2 linked regions of the Arabidopsis thaliana genome follow. The protein of the gene in region 2 interacts with the protein of the main gene of each other region in a pairwise test. Each region holds a gene or a part of one and is shown on either strand. Other genes may lie near its edges.

Region 1 (4,620 bases), about 22 Mb from region 2:
GTCCGTCGAAGGAGTCCAAGGATGAGCGCCATGACGGTATCCGCGATTTCCTCGGCTCGTGAAGTATCTACATGGACAAGTCGGAGACCTAGGTCGGCGGCGAGAGTCGAATCGACAGCGCGATCAGCAGAGCCAAGGCAGAGAATGAGCTGGTGAGGACGGAGTCGGCGTTGAGCTGCTCGTGGAAGATACGCGAGGGAATGGAGGAGAACGGCGGTGGCGGACTCGATCTTACCATCGGCGATGCGGCTGAGCGGGACGTATTCGACACCAGCAACGCCGGCGAGGGAGTCTTGCTCGAGCGCACAATCCTCTATACAGTTGAGTGTAACGACGTGAGGCGACGCCGGTGACGGCTGGTCGCGATGTGGCATTGTCGCAGACGAACGGATCTTGCTCATCTCCTCCTTCTTCTCGCTACTCTCGAGGAGTGAAATTTTGATTTTGGGAACATAATGATTTAGGGTTCAATGTTGTAAACTCTTACAAAATTAAGGGGCTAAATTTCATTTATAATAATTTTCAGGGCCCAAAATACAATTTAAACAAATTGACAATAATTTTTTAGTCCAATGCTCATGCTCCCCCGATAAGACGTCATCGGTTTGACATTTATGATAAACGACGCCGTCTTCCACTTGGCTTGTTGTAATAATTTAATTTACTAATTGCAAACAGATACTGAATACAGGTGAAACATGTACATTCCCTATTCCACATTATTTCCTGACCAGAAACCGAAAGACAAACTCCAGCGTTTGACAACAACAACAATAACACGAAATCTCTTTCTACACAAGAGCAACGACATAGACAGACTTGAGAAAAGAAAGAACAAAAGAACATGACTGGAGCAAGATGGGAACTCTCTTTTGTGCTACTAAAGTATATGAACAGAGCCGAATATATATATATATTCAAAAGGACACAAACAGGTGAAAACCAAAAGCTCTATACATCTATCTACCAAAATTCTATCTCTTTTATAACCCACTACGTTACCGACATTCTTAGTAGATCTCGAAATGTCTAAGTGGGTTTTTAGTTTATGGTAGGTGATGATCAGAGAAACCTCCTACGAAGGTTACTAGTTGTTGCTTGATACGAACGCATGAGTAATCCAACTCCAATGCCTACACCAAGACACATCCCAAGGCCTATCCCAACTCCGACTCTGACTCCTGCATTGAACCATGAGAGCTGACCATCCTCATCAACGTACATTCCTTCAGGGTAATATCTCTGTGCCATTTTCATATCTGAGTCATCGTATTCATCAACTTCTGATTCCATCATCTGCATAAACGAAACGACAAACAAGATAAAGCACCAAAAAAAGTGCAAAGAGAGTCTATTGACCTATATCCATATCTCAATTTCTGATCAGTCAACAATTCTACAATTTTCAAATTCAGCTGTAGAGTCAAAGAAAACATTCAAGCAGGAGCTAAATTCACCAGAAACTTGCGAGTGATCTTAATAACTAAATATCTGCTACAGCATTCATAACTCACAAAACTAGACGAAAGAAGCAACCTTTTCAAATCTCAATCCCAAGTTATTAAGAATCGTAACTTAAGGGCTTGGACAATCACCAAACAGAGAATTGTGAAATCAGAATCATACCTGTACTTTGCTTTGACGGGCCAATTCATCACCAATGGTACCAATGTCTTGCTCTTTGCCAACTTCCTCATCCTCAGGGATAGCGTCGAGTGTCACGTGCCTAGCCACCTTCCTCCTCGGACTCGCCTGAATCGTCTTGGTCAATATCACCGGGACACCACCACAACAACCAGCTATATAAACCTCGACGGACGGAGACGAGACTCCAAACTTTGGCTGGAAAAACACAGAGGCAGAAGGACCTGACACGTGTCCGTTTCCCATAGCAATGTAACAATCCATGCCCCATCCAGTCTTGGGATCACTCACAGTTCCATTGTTCCAAGCACCTTCGATTCTATCTAGGTTCCCACACAAGACCATATCCTCGTTATCATAAACCTCGAAATCAACGCATCCGGTAACGCGAACGGTCTCAGTGCTCACGTAAGTCACCTCCGACGATTCCCGGTCGACTCTGTCACGGCGGAGTTTAAGCGACGCCGTCTGCGACGAAGGAACGCGAACGCCGTTAACCTCAAGAGAAGCACCGGTTTCGCGACGAGGGTGACGGAGGGTGAGGAAGTCAGGGACGTTCTCAACGACGCAAGGAGCGATACGGACGTAGAACAAACGAACCTCCAGCCACGCCGATTGCGACAACGAAATTGATGATGCCGGAGACGGCGGCGATACGGTGGAGGTATTCATGTGGTACGATTTGGTTGTACCCAGAGGATCCAGATGATGAAGGTGATCTTTCGAAATCATCGAGAACGATTAGATTCAAGAAAACCTAAATTCGCAAATCTGGATTTGATGAGAAAATTGAAGGATTTGAGGAACAAGCAGAGAATGAATGAGAGGAGGAATCGAACAGGAACTTTTTTGTTTGTTTGTTTGTTTGTTGTGTTTAGGTTTTTGAGGGTTTCAGATATTTTCGAAGGTAAAAAAAGGTCAAAAAATTATAATTTGATTGAAGACGAGGTAATTACGGAGGGGTCAAAGAAGAAGAAACCGACAGGATAAAATACCCTCCTCACCTGTGAGATTCGCACGTGTGACAGTTTTTTTTGGCTTTTTCCACACAAACAAAAAAGGTTTAATAACTGGGCCATCAATTCCACACAGTCCGTTAAATGGGCTTAAATCATATGGACTCAGCTCAATTGCTACAAATCATGTTAGACCACTTTTTTTTTTCGTCAACTACATATGGTTCTTTGCAAAAAAGTTATGGATATATATAGTTTTGTATAATTGTAAAAAGCAGACCACATTTAGATCTTAGTAAATAATGATTCAGAAAGCAACATCATTTTACTCATTCGGGTCATTGACCGTACGGAAATTATTAATTTTAATCATAGCTATTACATTCTTTAGTAGATGTTCTTTTTCTCAATGGTTTAAGAGAAAATTTATCAGCTGTTGAACTTTTATCCTTGGAGGATTCCTCACCGTTCGATTTTAGATCTTGTCGGAGAAATTGGACTAACTTTGGATATATATTTATAGGCCGGCTATAATGTTTTCTTCTTCATCCTCTTTTTGTTAACACCGAAAAGATTGGGGCTTGTCATTTCACTTTCTAATTACTTAATTAGGTAGGCGAATATAATCATAAAGTAACATTCATATATAAGATTAATCTGACATCAATATTTAATTAACGTTTAGCTGAAATAAAGATTTTGCAATTCATGTGTATGTCCGCAACTCAAGATCCGTGTCGGAGGTTTACTTAGTTGATTTTATGTCACTTAATTGCACCACGTAGCATGATATTGATCGTATTTTAGATCCTCCAATTGTAAGATTGGTTTTACTTTTTTAATACATTTCGTAATTTTTAGTTAACATTTAATTCATAATCATATTTTACGCTGACGATGGACTTTTTTACTATTTAGAGGTTAATTAACTGATAACACGCTTTATTTTGCCTTAGATTATATAGTGTGCAATTATGATAGTGAACTAATTAAAATAGTTAAGATAACTATATTGTCCCCAATTGTACGTGTTTCCACATATAAAAACACTGTCTGATATATTCTTAAGTAGCATTGTAGCAACATCATCACTTTAATTTTAAGATAAGATTAAAAAAATATTTTAGATAATAAACTGAAAGTTAACAAAAATAGACTTTAATTGTCAAAAACAAGCAACTCCATTAGTAGCAGCTTCAAATGTTTTTATAGAGCATTTTCAATTTTGGTCAAACTATAAAGCAAAAGTTTTTATAGAATTCTCTTTTTTTTTTTTTTTTTTTGTCAAAGTTTACCAGAAAATAATAAATGAGTACTTAGGTCAAATTGTGTTTACTCTTTGATTCATCGCCAAATTACTACATGCAATGCAAGTCCTCTGAAGGCTTAGAATCGACGGTCCAGATCAGAAGATGAGGATGGTACGATCAACGTAAGGGTAAGAATTGACTATTAAGCCGCCTTTTTTTATAATAACAAAATACATAGAATTTGTACATCAGAGTAATAGGTCCCACATCCCACTCTAAGTGGCCCAGATTTACACAAATCTCATCACGTCTCGTTTCCTCTACTCGCAGTTTGCTGCGTGTTCTCACGCGCTAGCCAAAAACACAATCCACTTGTATATATATTTCGTGGACGTCAAATATTAAAGAGAAATAATAATTAATCTACGTGGGCAAACACGTGGAATATGCAGCTGTTTCCCACTACTAATGTATGTTTTTTTTTTTTTTGTGTGTGGCTTGGAGAATATTATTTGTCTTTATTTAGAGAATCAAATTCGTGTAGGATTGGCAAACCGATGGTGGGAGCGAGGACTCAATTATTAGACAACGTACTTCGTATACATATAACTTGAGAAAATAAATCAATCATAGAATGGAAGTTTATATATAAAAATGCAATAAGAAATATTGACAATTTGAGTGTTTCAATATTTTCTTAATGATTGTATACATTATTTATTTCCTACAGTATGTTTTTACCAACAAAAAACAACCAACATTTATATTAT
Region 2 (7,309 bases):
CTTTTTGTTATTAAAATAGAAGCATTAGTTTAACCTCAGATACAGAGTTTTGTCATCTAATTAGGAAATGTCTAACAACCGATCTATATTTTAACACAATTCCTTTTCTTAGAAAGCTATACACCTTAGTTTAACCTAAAACAGAGTTTTGTCATCTAATAAGAAATGTCTACCACCAAGAGTTGGATTCATGTGCTTCCTCCTTATTTGTCTACCCTAATTTCTTTTTATTCTTTAGCATTCCACATTCTCAAGTAAAGTCCAACAAAAGATGGCAAAAAGCTGTTTTATTTCACATGTTTAAATACCATATCTTCTATACTTTCTATGCAAGACATCTGTATCTCATAGGGATCGACCTAAAAACCGAACCAAACTGAATCAAAGATTTATCGATCCGAACCGAACTTAAGTTTTATATAAATAACCGGACCTTGATTAACTAACCGAAATTCATTCTGTTTGTCAAAGTATAGGCTGAGCGAGTCCACATTATACTAAACAAGAAGAGTAGCCAAAACATATAGACTTGATGATTGCAAATTCACAACTTTACTTTCATTTATTCCTTGAGGTAATAACAGTGGTTGTGGTAAACCACATAGTCGAGTAACATCACAAAAGGAATATTCAATCAAAGTACAAAAAAAAAAAACATTTAGACAAAACACACAAACTTCTGTTTCCTACGCTTCATTCCAGAGTGTGCTACTCCATGTTGACTGGTGGAGTTGCCTAAATAAAGACGATTAGTGGAATCGATCAGCAATATCGAAAAGATCTATTAGTGTCTATTGTTGACGACCGGTGTGGCTAAAGAGAAATCATTTGTTACCTTGAATAAAAGATCATGAGCAATAGTGTCCCATGGTAATGAAATGGACATTAAGCAGCATTTAAGAGGGAACATCTCGTCTTCATCATAAGAGGCAGTAGCAGCTGCTATTGCATGTTTAGCTGCGACAGATGCAACAGAGGCTGCTTTACGGAAAATGGATCCGAGATCGATGCTCTTCTTTGAAGACATAGGTGAAACAGGCCCTAAAACTACTTGGCTCTGATCTGAGAAAAGCAATTCTATACAATCATCCTTTAAACCATACTACGTCTTCAATATACATTTCAACAAGTCTCCTACTCTTAAATTTTGGCGATTGTACTTCTTAAATATTGCTGCTATTAAGACAATCCGACCTAAGACAATTGTTGGCTAGGGCATTCTCTATGTTTTTACTTTTTTTTTTTTATCTTCCATGGAATATTACTAACTGCACTGTAACACTCGAGAAAATAGGGAAACAAAACACTAACAGGAAAATAAAGAGCCATTCAAGCATAAGAAATGAAAAGTACCTACAACGCCAGAAACAGCTACTTCAACTTCTCCACGTCCTCCTGGGCCTCTCATATAAAGTCTGTCTGCTTTTCCTGTAATATGACCGAGAGATAGGAGACTTCCAAACCGATTCCTCCCCCCTGTAATAAAAGTTATTAGATGAAAAAACATAAAGCGTGAAAATATTAATTAGCCCAAATCAACGAAAGCGATCTCAGCCTATATAGACAAGGAAACAAGCAATAGGTTCCTTTAGGTCTTTTAGCTCTTAATATCTCAAAATTCCATGTCTACAAAAGTTAATTTTGTAGTCCAGCCATCTTGAGGTTGTCAGGTTGGGTACCGTTTCATATTCACACCTCCTTGATCTCTAAACGAACCATACTACTTCCAAAAATTTCGACTTTACTTTTTGAGTAAATGAGTAAAGGCATGAATATTAAGACTGCATGTTTCCCTGACATGAATAACCACTAATGAATTCTGTGTGCTATAGTGGAGTCAAGCTCGAGACCAAGTTCCGTACTATCATGGACCCTTAATATATACTTTCCATCAAATATTTTGGGAGAAATATGAAAGACCGAGATCGACAATGATAGTGCTAAGTACTAGAAGACTAAGGCAAGTAAACCATAACTACAAAAGTTGCTGGAGAATTGAACTAGGTTCTAAAACTGAATAAGAAATAGAAAAGAAACTGTAAAGTGACCTTCATAGGCTTCTCGAACCATCTGATAGCTGACAAACCCAGAAAACAGAGTAACCTGCAACCAAAAGCACCAGCATGTCAATTTCTTTCTCATTAGAAAGTCACGACCATGTAATGTGTCCATAGGCCTTTTGAAAACCATTGAGCTTGAAGTTAAATCATCTTTACAAAAATCACAAACAATACTTTAGTTAATTTGTTTAAGATCGACCGTTGCAAGCATCAGTGAAACTACCGACATATTCCTCTGTATGACATGGTTACAAGATATTTTCAAGCATTAACCACAAATTAAGGAATCTATTTGAAACTCATAGCAGGTGGCAAATGAATAATTGATAGATGATTGGCAGCAACTGCTGAAAATAGTGAAGCATAGGTGGGAAAAAACTAGACCTTAGGATCTTTCACAGTTCTAGGGTCAGCATTCGTATTAGAATCACTCGAATCTTTAACAGTTGCACTTGGAAAGGCTGCCCCATCGTGAGAATTAAGTAGTACGCAATAGCAATGATCTTTATCTGTCAGAACCTGAAAACATCAATGACAAAGCCAATGAACAAGGTTGGAAAAAAACTATGGTCAGTATAACAACTTCCATGCATGAAACCTAACCATACGACTTAAGTTATTTATAGGAATCATAAAGCCAAACTCCTCTACGCCTAAGCAAAACTAAAGAAGAAGACAGGCCAATCCTCTGAAGAAGATAATAAATAGCAGGTACTAAACTCAAATAAGGAGAGGATGTTAAAGCACCGCAAGAGGTAGTTGAAATAATATTATCTGGATCCTCCAGTCCTGTACCAAAAGCCAACAAACGTATCCTACAAAAGATTTTACTATCCAGTTAAGGAGAAACTAAGAATGCACGTAACTTCACCCTAGTGACAAAGGGGAGTTCATGCATATTTCCTCAACTAAAAACTATTCTTCCAGAGCCGATTTCATTATGAACAAAATGTCATAATTCCTTTGACATTCATGTTTAGAGTTTCTTTGAACGAAATGACTACATAATATAACAGTTGGAAGGACAATACAACAAAAAGGGAGAAGAAAATTTGTTACCACAGCATCAAAGGTTGAGTCAAAATCATCTACGGCAAAACAAATTTCTGGGTAGGCAGGTGTTGTTTCCACTTCCTAGGTAAACAACAATGGAAACATCAAACACAAATTCCAAAAGGACAAACATTGGTATGAGAAAAGCGACTATACTTGCCTTCTTTGAGTCCAGATGAAAATTAACACGACTAGGTGATGCATATACAGTTTTTACAACCTGCACAATATGAATGTCAGATTAGAGAACATGATTACTATTGACTTACAGAAAATGAAACCAAAGAAATATCCATATGCTTGGTCCAAGACTCATGTGAAAAGTCCTCTCCTTATGAAAACAAAACTGAATTCATATTCCGTTTCCTTACTCTTTTCTTAATAGGTTGATGATTAGAACAAAGCTGCACTGATATATTTTGAACAGCAGAGTATATAACTACTCTTTGGCTTCAGTTTCTTTTTCATATGAAAAGATTATAGAAGAGTTGAAAAGTCAAGAGTAATATTATCCAAAACTCTTAGGATCTCTAACCTTGTATATAGGAGATAGTTTTGTGTCTTTACTTCCTTGGTACGTCTTAAGGGCCTCATTACTAAAAACACAAGTAGTTCAAACAAAGTTACCATGATGCAGTCAAATGGAAAGACAAAAAGTCATATGATAAGTAGTATATAGACCAGAGAACATGTCATAAAAATGACTCAAGGCCTAATCACTGAAACTAAGAAGATGGTATCTGAGATTCCAACCTAATAAATAGCTAGACTGAAGTAATGATTGATGCAATAAGATGAGTTTGAACCCCAAACAGGAAAGAAGGATAGTAATATTAGCAATAACAGAACAAGAATTGACAACTGCTGTAAATTAGACAACATGAAATTAGTACAGGATGCCGCTAATCACAATCTGACTGAAACGGTTACCTGCAAATCGCAACAGTAACAGTGAACGATGTGTGGGCAATCATGTTCAAATAAAATGATTTCCTCCAATCAACTTCAGCCAGACTTTCACCAAGCAGCTCATCTAACTGCTTTACAAGTAAGAAAGAAATGCATTATCATATGTTTGTAGACAATACATACAAGGTGCAACACAACAAATAAATGGTTACTCGAAGTGTCTCTGTCCCATGGTCTAAATAAGATATGATGGATCGTGAAAAGCTTTAGCATGTAGGCCAGAAAAGACAATCCTTTACAATAAGCACGTAGTACTCTAGCTTACTTTAATCCCTCACCCGAAAAGAAGTAAAATTAATATTTCCATCACCTTCAGGGGAGTTGCAATCTAAGACCTTGTTAATATACAATTTTTACATCGCAGTTGAAATGTTACATGTCAAAACCAAACCTCATGTAGTGAGATCTAACTAGGTATCTGTATTATTTCGTACAGTTTTTTACCTTAGGTGCCCACCTGCGTACAAAGTAAGGAGCTGGTGCATCCTCATTTTCAGTCAAACCATATGACTTACAGCTCTGGCAAAAGCAACAAAACACTCAACAACATTAACAAGAAGGATGATAACAAAGTTCTAAGTTTTCGACTGAGAGAAAAAGGTCCAAGCTTTACATACCAATTTCCTGACAAAAAACAGAAGATCATCGTCTTGTCGCCTCCTCGACTCCATGCAACGAACAAAGTACACATCAAACACACCATGCCAGAAATTAGAGTCCATTTCTACATCAGACGCATCTTGCTCATCAAGAGACGTCTTTCCTAATGACTTTGAGTGCTTCTTCACCATACTCAGAATCTCATGTCTGAAAAAACATGAAGCAGACAACAAAATCAATTTAAGCAAGATCGAATCAAATAAATGCTGAATTACTACGAAATCTTAGTATTCGAATTAAGCAATTTCATGGTGGAATAACAAAATTCATCAAATAGAAAACTATCTCATTTCAATTTGAGCAGTGACTGGAACTAAGCACGAGATCAAACATAGAACAACAAAAGAATCTGACTTGTTTACCTAGAAGGAGTTACTTCGCCATCGTTGAGCATTTTTTCTACCCTCCGATGATTCTGCTAAAAACGTTGATTACGATCTCGTGATCGAATAGGGTTTTTCTCTCTCTATCTTTGACTCGTTCTTCAATTTTAATTTTTGCTGAATTCGATGCGAGTGAGAGATAGAAGAGAGCACAAATCTTCGATCTGATTTGCTTTAGCGTTGGCAAAATCTTGGCGTGTTGCGTCAATCGGAGCGGGGAAACCTCAATAACTGCCGATTTGCTACAGTGACAATTAAATCTTTTTTCTCTTTCATGGTTGTTAGCGGATAAATCCGTTTGTGGAGTAGATTATTTTTTATTTACCATTCATGAATTATAGTCCGTCTTAATATGCCCGAAAAAATTAAAAATATTTTACTACATACGGCTCTTACATAAAGATAAATTTGATGCGGATAAATCCGCCCCAAGAAATAGAGTTGCCTAGTCCGCTCCGCCGGCAACATCCATTCGAATACATTATATGGTTTGACTGGAAATGGTAGCATAGATGCAGAGATTATCTCAAGAATCCTCTATAAATAAACAATAATGAATATGTGGGTACATAACACTGCTAAGACTCTACTACGCTATTCAGCTCCAACTTACCAATAAGAATATGGAAGGCTGAAGATCTAATGTCCCTAACAACTCTAACAAGCTAATAGATCGATCCGATTAACTAGAATTGCTGGCTTAAACAAACCGGAGGGCCTCGAACAAAGCGGTTAAAGATGTGAAAGTAAACCGCAAGACAAACAGTGATTATCACTGAAGATTTGGCACCAACGTATCCAACTACTTGACGTCCTCTCTCTGTAACTTCTTCATGAATCACATCCAAACTCCTCTTAAAACTTTGTGACGTTTTCAAGATTACAAACTCAAGAATTGATCTCATCGTCTCTAGCGTCACTCTTCCCGTAACATCAAACATGAACTTCCTATTACTCGGCACTGCTAAAGTAGTCGAAAGCGCCTCTGCCCATCCGTTTTCTCGATTCTCCGACTTCCTCAAGGAGGAATCGGTTTTCTCTCCTGAAGATGTGAAGACATCATGAGAAGTTCTCATGAACGTCTCAAGAGCTCCATTACAAACCGAAACAAGAACATCTCGAGCACTATCTCGATGTTTCGGATTCGTCAAACCAGCGAATATCTGATCATAAGTATTAACACCAACCGTTTTATCGATATACACCGATACAGCTGAGCTAGTGAATCTCTCAATACAATCTGCTAAAAGCTCTCTACACTTATCATCACTAAGCAAATTCATCCATCTAGGTTTTAAAGAATCATCACTACCAATCTCAATCTCACCAGAGTAAAATCCAAGAACAAGATTCTTAGCAAAACTACCAACAACAACAGAAACAAAACCAGCTCCTTCCTCTGAGAAAACTCTATCAACTACACTCAAATTCGATTCTTTTTCGACGTTTGGATCGGAATTATACCCACGGAAAACACCAATCGCTACAGCTTCAGAAACCCTAGCTAGAGAATCAGTGAACTCTTTTGATTTGGTGATTTTCGATAGCTGTTTCAAGCTATTAGGGATTTCGTGGGAATTTGATTCGAGAAACTCTTTCAAATCTCGAGAAACGATACTTATCGTCTCCGCGGAATCGATGACCATTTCGGCGAATGAAACAATGCCTGAGAAGAGTTTCATAAGACGCTTCGTCTTCTTAGCGATGTATTGAGAATTGTAAACCCTGTAAACTCCGTAACCCGAAACACCGAAAACCGCTAATAGAATCAGCCATTTCCTTCTTCTCTGAGGTGAAATTGAACCTATGTCTCTCAATCGAACAAGGTCCATGAAAACTACAGCGAATTGAAGAGGGAGGGAGATCTAGGGATTGTAAAATTGGGGATGGGATTGTGAAATTGTTGAGTAGAAGAAGTGATGATTTTGAGTTACCAGATAGATTTGGATAGAGACATGAATGAAGGTAGAACCAAGAAGTGAGGAACTCAAGAGGCGAAAGAGAAACAAAGAACAAGTTGAAGAAGAAGAAGACAACAACAGACGAATCTTTTCGATGTTCGGTTGGTTTGATTTTAAAGTGACGATTGTTTTGGAATCTTTCCGGTTATGGCAAAACCAATTTTGCTGACCAAATATTACTAGGATATTTTTCCGTATTACCATATCAGTTACCTGAAATGAC

What was found.
Region 1: the proteins of CW7 (region 2) and AT1G01500 interact in a two-hybrid assay, tested with the Arabidopsis thaliana proteins (one large-scale study listed by BioGRID).

What each region holds. Positions count from the first base shown.
Region 1 is NC_003070.9:183,016-187,635, reverse strand, and holds AT1G01500 (Erythronate-4-phosphate dehydrogenase family protein), read right to left. Parts: upstream 2,604-4,620; 5' UTR 2,377-2,603; coding exon 1,627-2,376; intron 1,297-1,626; coding exon 1,063-1,296; 3' UTR 501-1,062; downstream 1-500. Other genes in the region: AN (NAD(P)-binding Rossmann-fold superfamily protein), read right to left, coding at 1-401.
Region 2 is NC_003070.9:21,859,416-21,866,724, reverse strand, and holds CW7 (CW7), read right to left. Parts: upstream 5,444-7,309; 5' UTR 5,137-5,443; coding exon 5,105-5,136; intron 4,890-5,104; coding exon 4,700-4,889; intron 4,602-4,699; coding exon 4,527-4,601; intron 4,151-4,526; coding exon 4,044-4,150; intron 3,710-4,043; coding exon 3,649-3,709; intron 3,334-3,648; coding exon 3,274-3,333; coding exon of another isoform or gene 3,270-3,273; intron 3,195-3,269; coding exon 3,120-3,194; intron 2,580-3,119; coding exon 2,445-2,579; intron 2,104-2,444; coding exon 2,049-2,103; intron 1,477-2,048; coding exon 1,354-1,476; coding exon of another isoform or gene 1,307-1,353; exon of another isoform or gene 1,063-1,306; coding exon 785-1,062; 3' UTR 736-784; coding exon of another isoform or gene 709-735; 3' UTR 515-708; downstream 1-514. Other genes in the region: CF9 (Carbohydrate-binding protein), read right to left, coding at 5,812-6,957.